3 linked regions of the Danio rerio genome follow. The protein of the gene in region 1 interacts with the protein of each later gene in a pairwise test. Links are inferred from orthologs where the notes say so. Each region holds a gene or a part of one and is shown in the gene's direction. Other genes may lie near its edges. The genes, in order: lsm3, lsm10 and keap1b.

Region 1 (4,499 bases):
AAAGAAAAACAACTGATTATTCTGGGTAAACACGCAGCAAATTGAGAGTTAATTGAAGGAAAAAGTCATTAAAGGTTTATTAACTGTGAGAATTGTATTGAAGTGTGCTCGAATTATTGCTAATTAATTAAACATGCATCTTAATGTATGTTACTTAAACCTGTATTATAAATACACCATATTGAAGCGGTTTAATTATTTCAAGCATTAAATTAAGCCATTGTTAGATTTATGAAAAATCAACTTTTCATTTAAAAATCAATAAAAGTCTGTCCTAAATTTAATATAAAAGGTTTCTGCATATTGTTTTATACTTTAGAAATAAAATGATGTCATCTGAGGTTACGAGGGAAAAAGCTGCAGTTTCCACATATATCCAGCAGGGGTCCTTATGCATCTATTCATTTCAGCTTTTACTTCTTGATGCTTTAGGACCCATCCCATGCTTGAATGTCTCAGTAGTCCTTCAGCGTTAGAAGGAATGGTAGGCTATAAAATATTTTCTCAGCTTACACAGTCGATCTACATAACTGAATAGCAACACAGGCACAGGTTACTGCATCTATTTTTTAATATATATATATATATATATATATATATATATATATATATATATATATATATATATATATATATATATATATATATATATATATTTAACTGACTGTCACACATTCTCAGCATTTGCTTTTAGTTGAATTTCAAGTGCAGCAAGCTAAACTTGTTATTTATTTCTTAAAGAAATATTATAATAATTTACTGTCATGTTGTGTGACATGCAAAAGAAAATATTTAGAAAATTTTAATATTCAGAAAGTTTTTGTTTCCAATTTTTATTTGTGCTCTAGACCCAGGCCTTTGCAGAAATGTTAAACTTTTTAAAATTTATAATGGGTTTAAAATTCATTTAAAAAAAATAATCTTAATTTTTTTTCCACTTTTCTCATTTTTTTTCAGTGTGGTCAGTTTGACCTCAAACACCATAAGTTTTTTTTTTCTTTTTTTTTTTTACACATATAAAGCAACCAAATCAAGTCCAGTTGTGACTGTTTTGTTAAAGGTTGGACTGATGTGACCCCAACATTGCCTAATTGATAAAGTTGCAATTTCATATGCAAAATTGCATATAAATAAACACCAAATAGCCTACTCTTGATAACAATGCAATCCAGATGATCAGCCTCACAACTTTCACTATACAACTAAATTGTCTAATTTTCCTTTGCAGGAAATGTGAGATGGGCTTTCCCAGATATGAAAATGCGGAATTTAAAGGAAGCAGGAGGAGATGTGTTTCAAATCTAACAGGGAGGGGGAATAGTACTTCCATACTCACAAACACAAGCTTTTTTCAGGAATGTCTGTGCGATCACTGATCCATCAATGTAGAAAAGGGATGAAAAATTATAATTTTCGTAATTTAAAAAAAATAAATAAATAAATAATTGCACAGTGACATCCGGGAAAACTCCCGATCATAGCCTATGTGTATATCTTTGGCTTTGGATGGTCACAGCTTGCATTCATTTCAAAGGAGCGGTTCCCTGTACTAACATGGTGGATCTATTGACGCATTCCTTCCAATAGACAACAACAGGGTAGGCGACATCTAACGTATATATCTATGTCTAACAGGAAGCAGATGCATTTTCCGTCTAATGATTTGTTCGCGAGAGAAACGGAAAATGCATTCTGGGTAGATTTGAAAGATGGCGGACGACGCTGAGCAGGTTTGCAATTTTTGCTTTGTATAAATATTTCGTTAGCTGTTTGATTATCGCGGAGGTTAATCGTATTAATTGTGTTTATTTTTAACTAGTTGAACACACGGGTAGCCTATGCTAAAGCAGCTTGTAACTACGACGATTGTTTGCATGGACATTTTCATTCAAATAAAATACATCACTGAAATTTACTTTACAGCAACAGACCACCAACACCGTAGAAGAGCCTCTGGATCTGATTCGGCTCAGTCTGGATGAGAGGATCTATGTAAAGATGAGGAATGACAGAGAACTGCGTGGCAGACTGCATGTGAGGGGAATACTACATTACATACTCTAAGTTAGTTATACTGCACGTGAGGGAAATGCCACATAATATACTGCATACGAGGGGAAAATACTACATTAAATACACGTTTCTACTGTACGTTATTGGAAAAAATACAACCTTAAGCATATTATATAACGTTATACTAAACCTGATTCAAAATACTACATTAACCATTATATAATGTTACATAAAGTTAGTTACATTGCACGTGCAAGAAAATACTAAGTTACATTGTGTATATATAAGTTACACTAATTATACTGCACGTGAGGGAACATACTACATTAAACATTATACAGTTATACTGCACGTGAGGGAAAATACTACATTAAACATATTATAGACTCTAGTTAATCTGCATGTGAGGGAAAATGCTGCATTAAACATTATTAAATTGCACTTGAGGTAAAGTACTTTTATAGATATATTGTTAGCCTTCACGTGAGGGAAAATTCTAAATTAAACATTAAATATTATAGTTAGACTGCATGTGCGGGAGAAATACTACTTTAGTATATACTCTAGTTCACTGGTTCCCAACCTTTTTTTGCCTGAGACCCCCTTTTTCCCTGGAAAATATTGTTAGGCCCCCCTCCACATTTAATGATATAATCGCTCATATAAGTTTGCACTAATAATGACAAAAAATATTGTTTCAAACAAAGCAAAGGTAGATCTCCAGGAACAGGATTGGCCACCCCTGCTCTAGTTAGACTGCGCTTGAGAGAAAAAACTAAATTAAACAGATTATACTCTAGTTATCCTGCACCTGAGGCAAACATTAGGCATATTATATTTATCATTATTATATTTATGTTCATTCATTCATTTTCTAGTCGGCTTAGTCCCTTTATTAATCCGGGGTCGCCACAGCGGAATGAACCGCCAACTTATCCAGCAAGTTTTTAGACAGCAGATGCATTTCCAGCCGCAACCCATCTCTGGGAATACTATTTATATATATATATATATATATATATATATATATATATATATATATATATATATATATATATATATATATACTAATTAAACTACAACTGCACATGAGGGAAAATACTTATATAAATATTATATACTCTAGTTATACTGCATGTGAGGGAAAATACTACATTGTAGTTATTATATACTCTATTTATACTGCACATGAGAGAAACTACCACATTGTACATATTATATACTCTAGTTCAGTGGTTCTCAAACTGTGGTACGTGTACCACTAGTGGTACGCAGGCTTCCTTCTAGTGGTACGTGGAGGAATAAAATATGTCATGTACATGCTACACACATTTCAAAATTGATAAAAATGATGTATATAATGTCATATGACATATAGCCTATATTTCTCATGTAATCTGCCACGTTTTTTTAACTGTGCAGAGTTGTAGCTGCTTTACTGGGCCTACAAGGCTATTGTATCTCAATACTGCTCATTTTGGTGGTACTTGGAGAGACAATTTTTTTCTGAGGTGGTACTTGATGAAAAACGTTTGAGAACCACTGCTCTAGTTATTCTGCCCTTGAGGGAAAATACTACATTTTATACAGACTCAAGTTCAATTATGTCTCTAAATGTATTATGTTCTGTTATTAAAGTCACATGAATTTGGTCTGTGGATTTTTTGGAGAAAATAAAGGATAAAAACATGTAAAAGTGAATTGATAAAATCTATTAAAATGTAATAATCAAATGTTTTATCCTAATAATTGACTACACGCATTAGTGTAGTATGTAAAGTGTTTAGTAAAAGAAAGGAAACATACAGAGGATTAAAATAATATTTATATTGTAATTGTATTTAGATCTAAAATACAAGTCTAAACTAATAGTCTACAGCAGTTCTAATGTGTTATTTTAACAGTACGTATGTATATATGAACAGTATATTGAAAAATCTGTTTGATTTTAATAACAAATCACAGAGATAAGGGATCAGAAAAATGTAAATGTTTTGTATTTTACAGAGGTAAATAAACTTATGGATGACCAAAAATGTACTGAATACAACTTCCTTTGTGTGAATTAAACAGCACAACCAAAAAGGATAAATGTTGACATAAATATACTTTTATTATTTTAATATTCATTTCTTTAAATATTTATTTTCTTTTATTTACCATATTTGCATTAACAGGGCTCGAAATTGCGACTATTTTGGTCGCATATGCGCCCGAAATTTTATCTATGCGACCTTAAAATATATTTGGGAGCATTTCTGCGAGAGCTTAAAATTGTTGTGTGCAACCAGTTTGTCTGCTCTTTGTCTGCAAAAATGCAGCGCTCGGGAATGGTTTAAAACAGTTATCATGTCAACTTGTTGCAGTAAACAAATCCAAGTCCGTAATGCTTGCCCTGCCTTTGCGCTCTTCTTATTGGCCCACCACTGCTCTAGCACTGAATGCGAATGATTGGTTAATATCAGCTGTTAATCACTCAGTCGCCT
Region 2 (4,340 bases), on another chromosome or scaffold:
TAAGTTAAATGTGTCAAGACTTCTGGTCTCATTCATTTTCATTCATTTTTAGCAAAACACAACAAGTTATGTTGATAGAATTTGTGACCTGTACTTTTCTTATCATATTGTTTTAATGTATTTGACAGCCAGATGACAAGCAAGAAAGAAAAAATGGTAATAGGTAACACGTAAAAAAGAAAATAAAAAACAGATATAATTTATAAAATTATATATAATATATACAAATTACATTTTGATAAATGGAAAGTTTATTAAAAATCTATAATATTCCATGACGTGGACAAAAAAATAAATAAATAATACTGACTTTAAATGTCTGAAATAGACCTTTTAAATGTCTATGATATTCCAGAAACTCTATTACCTGTGGGAACCCTTAATACAAATGTAAAGAGACCAAATCATAGTTTTTTTATTATATTATATATCTACACTCTGTATTAATTACTGTATATTACTATATACTGGATGGATGGATGGATGGATGGATGGATGGATGGTTGGATGGTTGGATGGATGGATGGATGGATATGCAGATAGATAGATGGATGGATGGATGGATGGATGGATGGATGGATGGATGGATGGATGGATGGATGGATGGATGGATGGATGGATGGATGGATGGATGGATGGATGGATGGATGGATGGATGGATGGATGGATGGATGGATTGATTGATTGATATTTTGTTGTGGTTGTTGTTAATAAAAATTACCTTGGTATTACCAGGATGAGCTGGCCAGCACTGAACTGGCTCGCATAGCGGAAGAGTTTGATGAAGAGGGAAACCAGACGGAGGAACTGGGAAACAAGGGTGATGATTTGCTGGCCATGATGGATGAGCTCTAAAGGTCAGTCGCTATCAACAGTGAGTCAGAAAGCATGTGGCAGGTCTGAAAGGTCACAAAAAATATGCTCTGTTAGAAAATGCCTGACATATTTACTTTCATAAACATTATTAAGAACAAGCTGGAAGGCATATTCAGCTGTCATCGGTTCCCTTCATGGTTTTATTTGCTTCACACTTTATTTGAAGTGTTGTATTAACATTTTTCACTACTTTTTAATGATAAAACATTTAGTTTTAGTTTTTCATAATTTTCAAATAATACATGGTATGTTAAATACAGAAATGTAACGAACCTACATTTCAAACGAAGCTAACGTTATTCTGACAGGACGATGAAATTAAAATGTCGACTACAGCAGTCAACGCGTCTTAAAATAACAGTATATATCAACTCGCCCAACATATAGAAAGCAGCAGCATTTTAGGAGATAACTTACACTGAATTTAAAAACAAAAAGTTTGTAAACTAACCAGTTTCTCCGATTAAATATTGACGTTGTACACGTAATGAGCCACCAGAGGGCGCGCGAACGATTTTAATCCGGTACGTCTTGATGACGTAATTATCAGCTGCGACAAAGCGCGGTGCTCGAAACCATTAGGACGTAAACATGTTTTGAGCATGTAGACAACACCACGGAAGGTAATAAATGTTTTATTCACTCTCTAGTTCAGCAGCTTTTTATGAGTGGCTGTGGTTTTGTTAAAAAATTAAACAGTCATGTTCTCGGTTGAGTTGCAACTCTCGCGTGCTCCATTAAGTCGTAAAGGTTTCCTGTTCAGCTAGTTAGTAGTTAAGTGGATACTGTACACTGGTAAGTCAGCTACTATCCAGTGTGCAATCGTCATTTCTGCTTATTTCGGTATTTAACTTTGGAACCAATGCAGAGTCAGTATAAAATGCACAAAACCTTAACTACACACACATACATTAATAAATAAAGCTGCGGGTTAACTATGTTTATATATATATATATATATATATATATATATATATATATATATATATATATATATATATATATATATATATAAGCTATTGTTAAATTATTAGTAACTAATACAGTACAGTCACTAATATTATCTTTTCTAAATTTGATTGTAATGCAATAATTTGCACCTCTGAAACATTCATTATTGTGAAAAGGGCTGTACAAATAAGCCTGAATTGAATACTAGCCTTGGTATGCATACTATACTTATTGATTTAATGTTTAATATAATATAAAAAATTATCAAACAATTAAATAATAGTTGGCTAAAATTGGCACAAAAATCTTCCTACACATACACAAATAGACATATGAAGACATTAAAAAGTGCAAAAACGTATGGAAACATAATATATTATGTATGTATGTGTATGTTATGTTATTAACGCGGATTAAAATTCATTTAAAGACATTTGACAACATATTTCACATTTCACCTTTGTAAACAAACCTGCTTTGGATATTTTCTATCAATTTCATAAAAGGCGGTGTGCGATGTGTCTGTCAGCGGAGCCGTAAACCTGCAAGCATGCACTTGCCCACAACATTTAAATACAATTATTCAGCTTATGACAGACATTTTTTACATTTATGTGAGGCAACCATTTTCCATATACTTCTTTGAGATTTACAGATATACAGTTCTCAACATAATCGAGTACACCCCATTTTGAAAATGAATATTTTTATCTATTTCTTGGTGAGTATAGGGCATATATTTTGGTGCATTTGAACAAAACAGATTATATATATATATATATATATATATATATATATATATATATATATATATATATATATATTTAATATTTTACTTACAGAACATTTTTAGAAATTTTAGATTCTACATTCAAATTAATGTAAAATATTGAGAAAATAATTACAAACTACTTTTGGACTGTTATCATAAGTTATTTTGTTAGATTAGCTCCAGATTTGGCTTCAGTACTAACTAATACAATACATAAATATAATATTCATAAAGCTTCTTGTAGAAAACATTAATTTAAATGAGAGATCTGTGGGGCTGTACTTGTATATGTTAAGCACTGTATTTGCTGTAAAACATCTGCGGATTTATGCAGAATGATTTTAGGAGTATCATTACAAAAATCTTAATAAATTAAATAAAAATAATACTGTTTTAACTTGTATTTAATGTTTACAGTGCAAATCCAACTAGATCCACTTATTCGGTAAACAAAGTCTCTCATATAATATATCTACTAACAGATGGAACATATTAATTTACATACTGTATTGTACATAAATCATATGATAATTTTCATATTAGTCAATAATACTGAAATTAATTTCAAAATTGAATGCATATACAAAGTAAATAAATAGACTCAACGATGCACTAAAAATCTGCGTCATGCTCCACATGTTGATTCTGTGTGGGTCTAGTCATTACGTAGTATTATAATCAGATATTATATCACACAAAAGAAATCGTCTGATTGTTTATGATTATTTTGTGCACAGATCAACATGGACGTGAGCCATTCGATACGTGAACGCACCATCGCTGAGAACAGTCTGGTGATCCTCCTGCAGGGTCTGCATGGACAGGTGACCACAGTTGACCTGCGAGACGAGAGCACAGCGAGGGGCAGAGTGATAAATGTGGACGCTTTCATGAACATCCGGCTGGAGAATGTCCTATACAGGGACAGACGGGGACGCAAGTCGAGCATGGATGATCTCTTCATTACTGGCAGAAACGTGCGGTACGTCCACATCCCTGACCAGATCAACATTATAGAGACAATAGAGGCGCAGCTCTCCAAAATACACCGCGTGCGAAACTTCGGAGCGGGCGGTGGACGGAAGGAGTACTCAAAGAAAAAGTAGCTGATGCTTGCAGTGTGTTTTTGATGGGAATGCTCGTTGGTGAATAGTTTGTTTATATTAAAATGGTTTCTGGGTCATGTGGGAAAATGACTTGTGTTTATTTTGAGCGTCTCTGGTGGTTTGAGAATTACATAAGCAGATTAGTGAAATGACTATTGACTGATGAGTTATTTAATGTGGCGTTGTTTGTTTAAACTACACGCTTTGCTTTTTCCCATGTCAATATTGCTTAGCCAAAAGTACACGTATATTTAAGGTTATATGCAAATATTGGTACACTGATGCATTTAACACTTTGTTTACAGTGTAATGGGAATGTTTATTTTCAAAATTGGCGCTTTTAAATATTTGTAATGACTTCATGAGATCAAATGAATGACTATTAAATTGGATATCTCATTCATTTTCCTTCAGCTTAGTCTGATTATCAGGGGTTGCCACAGTGGAATGCACTGCCAACTATTCCAGCAGGAAGAGCCCCGTGCTGTTGGGGGGGGGGAGGGTTAGGACGATTCTAAGGACTCACACAGTTTTGGGGCCCCCAGAGACATTATTAGGGGCCCTAATGACCCCACCCCTTCCACTCTTCACTTTGGTCAGCAGCATCCTCCTCCTCACTCTTCACTGTCGTCCGT
Region 3 (4,343 bases), on another chromosome or scaffold:
TGTGTGTGTGTGTGTGTGTGTGTGTGTGTGTGTGCGTGTCGGAAACCAACAAACACATGTGGGTGACTGCAAATTCAGCTGTGCGTCTGCAGAGGGGCTGCTGTTGCACACATGCACACACACACACACACACAAGCACACACACACACAAACAAACATGGAAACACCACAGAGCTCACCTTTACACTGTTTACCGTAAACAAACACACACACTCAAACCAACCTCAGAGCCGTCACACCTAAACCACGGGCATCTCTCAATCGCTCACACTCTCTCTTTCTTACCCACACACACACACACACACACACACACACACACACACAAGCTTAGTCATCTGTCAAAACTGGAACTTCTCATGAAATATTAAAATAGAGATGTGAAGAGTGTGTGTGTGTCTCTCAGCTTCTCCTGACCAGTGTGTGTGTGTGTGTGTGTGTTGCTCTGCCGTGAGTGTCAGACTGAAGTGCAGTAGAGTGTGAGTCGCTGCTCCAGTAGACGGGCACGTCAGAGGTCAGAGGTCAGCTGTTCACAGATTGGGCTCTTCTACAAAGATTTTAATGTTTATTTACTCATTAATGAAAGTCAGACTGGAGAGGCAGTGTGTGTGTGTGTGTGTGTGTGTGTGTGTGTGTGTGTGTGTGTGTGTGTGTGTGTGTGTGTGTGTGTCCTTCAGTGTAAAATGTTAATTGCTGAACACACACACACACACACATAACTCTGCATGTAGTCCTCCATCTGTCGCTCCGCTCTGCTCACTGAGAGCCGGACTGTTTTACTGATCGTGTTTTGGATCCAGTATAGGCATGAGATGTGTGCAGCTTCAGCTCAGCTCAGCTCCTCCTCTGATGATCACACTGGAGCAGAACAGAACAGAAGCTGTTCAGTCAGCTGAACCACAGATCCCAGAACAGCCAACAGCAGAACAGCTCAAACACAGCCCAGCAGCAGCCCGCTCTATTGACCTGTAGCGACACCTCGTGTCCAACATCAGTACTGCATCTCACACACACACACACACACACACACACACACACACACACACAGGCCAGCTAATGCTTAGTCACGCTGAGTTTCTGCTTTCAGTGGGTATGATACACACACAAGTACACACACTCACATACACACAGAAGTGCTCACACACACACACACACACACAGAGAGAGAGAGAGAGTGTCCGTGCGCTGCTGCTGATGCCCGTGAGTGTGTTTTCATTGTTTACTGTGTTTAATCGACATTACTGCCGCGTTTGTCAGATCTACAGGCTCGTGTTGATGCAGTTTCTGATGTACAGCTGTGAGGATGAGGATGGCGGCTTGTCTCCTTATTGATGAAGATCAGCTCATGATGAACTTTATTAATCTTCATCTTTATTCCTGATTGATCACTGTGTTGTTTATGGAGGCTTATAACGCGGTAAGAACATGGTAATAACACGAATAAAGTGTTTTGATTTGAGGTCGGCTCGCGTTTCCATCAATAATTTAAAGCGCGGGTCGCGTAGCGCTGAACTTTTCCTCAGCCTCGGTCTGTGGTTTCCCGCTCGGGCGCGGCGCCGCTGCTGAGTGTGGCCGGATCTGCGCTGCCGGGGGCCGGTGCCGTTTCAACTCAAGCCCGGGGATCTCAGGCCTCTCGCTGTTTATGTGTATTTACCGCGCTTTGTGTTCTTAGTGTTATTATAAGAGCTGAAAACAGCGGAAATCAAATTAAAGCATGACTGTAGAGCCGGGGTGAGGAGGATAAACGGAGATAAACACTTCAGTTCAGCAAATTGACAGAAACACATTAAAATAAACCTAGCAGACAGCTGGAACCACACACACACACACACACACACACACACACACACACACACACACACACACACACCTGCTGCATATATATTTGCTCTTTTAAACTACTTATTTAAAATGAGCTGAAACAACACAATTCTTGAGGTTTCATTTGTGAGAACTTAAATTTCTTATGTTCAATCCACACGCATTTGTTAAATGTGTTGAGTTAACTCAATCGACTTGTGTTGGGTCAAGATGAATGAATTGTGTGGAAGCCTGCATTTTTAACAGTGTGTGAGATTCTGTTTACCTGTACACACACTCATAAACAAACAAAAACACACTCATAAACACACACACACACACTAAGTGTGGATCAGAGTGTGTTCTGGTTCACTGACAGCAGGACAGTGTGTGTGTAGTCAGTGTGTGTGTATGTGTGTGTGTAAGCAGAAGATAGACTCCTGCTAACGACAGGAGGAACTCCTGAAACTCATTAGTTCTGATCAAATCACTGACGAAGATCTGATGAACCAGTCCTGAGTCCAACAGAAGAGAGAGTGTGTGTGTGTGTGTGTGTGTGTGTGTGTGTGTGTGTGTGTGTGTGTGTGTGTGTGAGAGTGTGTGTGATACTCCTGATCATTCATGGCAGAGTGTGTTATCGTAGTCAGTGGTGAATCCTCAGTGTTTGTTCTAATCTCTCTCTCTGTGTGTGTGTGTGTGTTTCCCCCTCAGGATTCGCGTGCAGACACAGATCAGCAGCTCTGCCCTCCTCTACAGACTGACTGACAGGCGCGTGTGTGTGCGTGTGTGTGTGTGTGTGTGTGTTCACACTGGTCAGGAGAACACAGATATGTGAGCGTTCCTCTGCGTGTGTTCCTGCTGGTGATGAGCGGTGTGTGTATGATGTGTGCGTGTCTCTAACACAGGTGTGTGTGTGTTCTCGTGACCGCTGCGCTGGCGAGTGAGGATGTGCCCGCGCTGATGTTGGCGGCGGCGGGCATGACGGAGTGTAAGGCGGAGGTGACGCCGTCGGCCAGCAATGGGCACCGCGTCTTCAGCTACACGCTGGAGAGCCACACGGCCGCCGCCTTCGCCATCATGAACGAGCTGCGGCGCGAGAGACAGCTGTGTGACGTCACACTCCGCGTGCGCTACTGCCCGCTCGACACACACGTCGACTTCGTGGCGCATAAGGTGGTGCTGGCCTCGTCCTCGCCTGTGTTCCGCGCCATGTTCACCAACGGCCTAAAGGAGTGCGGCATGGAGGTGGTGCCCATCGAGGGGATACACCCCAAGGTACCAGCACACACACTCACACACACACACACACACACACACACACACACACACACACACACTAGGAAAAAATAATAAATGGGAATTTGGATTTGTAGTGCAGTTTTCCCAGCTGTGTGTGTGTGCGAGTGTGTGAGTGTGTGAGTGTGTGTGTTTGTGTGAGTGTTGCATCATGATACAGTGATGGTCTTGAATGTGTACAGCTCCTCTCCTGAGCTCCAGCACACACACACACACACACACACACACACACACAGCTCAGTGGTCAGGTGATCAGTGACAGCAGCTGTTCTCTCTCCTCATTTCCTCCTCCAAACCTGTTTGAGTTTCTGTTGAACACAGCGGTAGATGTCCTGGAGGAAGCAGCTGATGACTGCAGCAGTGTTTCTGTTCCTGCTGTGGACGTCAGCGGCTGCTTTCCCAGCATTCCTCAGAGTATCAGAGACTGATGAAGCTGTAGAAGCGCTCGAGTGAGGAAAGGAGGAGGACATGTTCATTATAGGTGACCTGTGCCTTTCAGTGTGCCCACTTCAGAAACGGTGTGTGTGTGTGTGTGTGTGTGTGCGTGTGTGTTCTTGTCTCCAGGTCATGGGCCGGCTCATTGAGTTTGCGTACACGGCGAGCATCTCAGTGGGTGAGAAGTGTGTGATCCACGTGATGAACGGCGCCGTGATGTACCAGATCGACAGCGTGGTTCAGGCCTGCTGTGATTTCCTGGTGGAGCAGCTGGACCCCAGTAACGCCATCGGCATCGCCAGCTTCGCCGAGCAGATCGGCTGCACGGAGCTCCACCAGAAGGCCAGAGAGTACATCTACATGAACTTCAGCCAGGTCAGAGCGGCCGACGCACACAGGATAACCGCTCTCACACCCCTCACACACCAACACAAGAGTTCAGGCCTCAATAAGGGGCTTTCACACCCACACTTCTGTTTCGGAACCGTCCCGTTAGTCCAGTCAGCGCGGCTCGTTTGGCATATGTGAATCCAGCAATTGTGCTTGGATCTGCACCAAATCAATCAGTCCGAGATCGCCTGACTGAGGTTCAGTTAAAACTCTGGAGCAGATGGACTGTAGTGAGAAAGAGAAATGATCTGAGCCCGGCGGGATCACTGAGGATTCGGGCCCGCAGAATTCTGCAGATGTTTAGCTCATCATTGATTCTGTCTATTCACTTGAGTTAGTGTGTGTACATCTGTACTTATTCTGTAATATTATTGACTGATCTGAAAATGTTGATCTGATTTATGTACAGCGCAGTGTGCAGTCAT

Evidence for each region.
Region 2: the proteins of lsm3 (region 1) and lsm10 interact in binary tests that used the Homo sapiens proteins (3 or more experiments, as listed by UniProt). The link is inferred for Danio rerio from reciprocal best matches to the Homo sapiens genes LSM3 and LSM10.
Region 3: the proteins of lsm3 (region 1) and keap1b interact in binary tests that used the Homo sapiens proteins (3 or more experiments, as listed by UniProt). The two-hybrid records come from large-scale screens. The link is inferred for Danio rerio from reciprocal best matches to the Homo sapiens genes LSM3 and KEAP1.

The regions. Positions count from the first base shown.
Region 1 is NC_133197.1:33,572,382-33,576,880, reverse strand, and holds the start of lsm3 (U6 snRNA-associated Sm-like protein LSm3), read left to right. Parts: upstream 1-1,646; 5' UTR 1,647-1,709; coding exon 1,710-1,730; intron 1,731-1,923; coding exon 1,924-2,034; intron 2,035-4,499. UniProt on the Homo sapiens protein: Plays a role in pre-mRNA splicing as component of the U4/U6-U5 tri-snRNP complex that is involved in spliceosome assembly, and as component of the precatalytic spliceosome (spliceosome B complex).
Region 2 is NC_133194.1:4,215,052-4,219,391, forward strand, and holds lsm10 (U7 snRNA-associated Sm-like protein LSm10), read left to right. Parts: upstream 1-1,426; 5' UTR 1,427-1,499; intron 1,500-2,299; exon of another isoform or gene 2,300-2,382; intron 2,383-3,336; 5' UTR 3,337-3,342; coding exon 3,343-3,705; 3' UTR 3,706-3,782; downstream 3,783-4,340. Other genes in the region: protein OSCP1a, read left to right, coding at 736-855. UniProt on the Homo sapiens protein: Appears to function in the U7 snRNP complex that is involved in histone 3'-end processing. Increases U7 snRNA levels but not histone 3'-end pre-mRNA processing activity, when overexpressed. Required for cell cycle progression from G1 to S phases.
Region 3 is NC_133181.1:203,239-207,581, reverse strand, and holds the start of keap1b (kelch-like ECH-associated protein 1B), read left to right. Parts: upstream 1-1,397; 5' UTR 1,398-1,414; intron 1,415-2,508; 5' UTR 2,509-2,757; coding exon 2,758-3,072; intron 3,073-3,657; coding exon 3,658-3,903; intron 3,904-4,343. UniProt on the Homo sapiens protein: Substrate-specific adapter of a BCR (BTB-CUL3-RBX1) E3 ubiquitin ligase complex that regulates the response to oxidative stress by targeting NFE2L2/NRF2 for ubiquitination.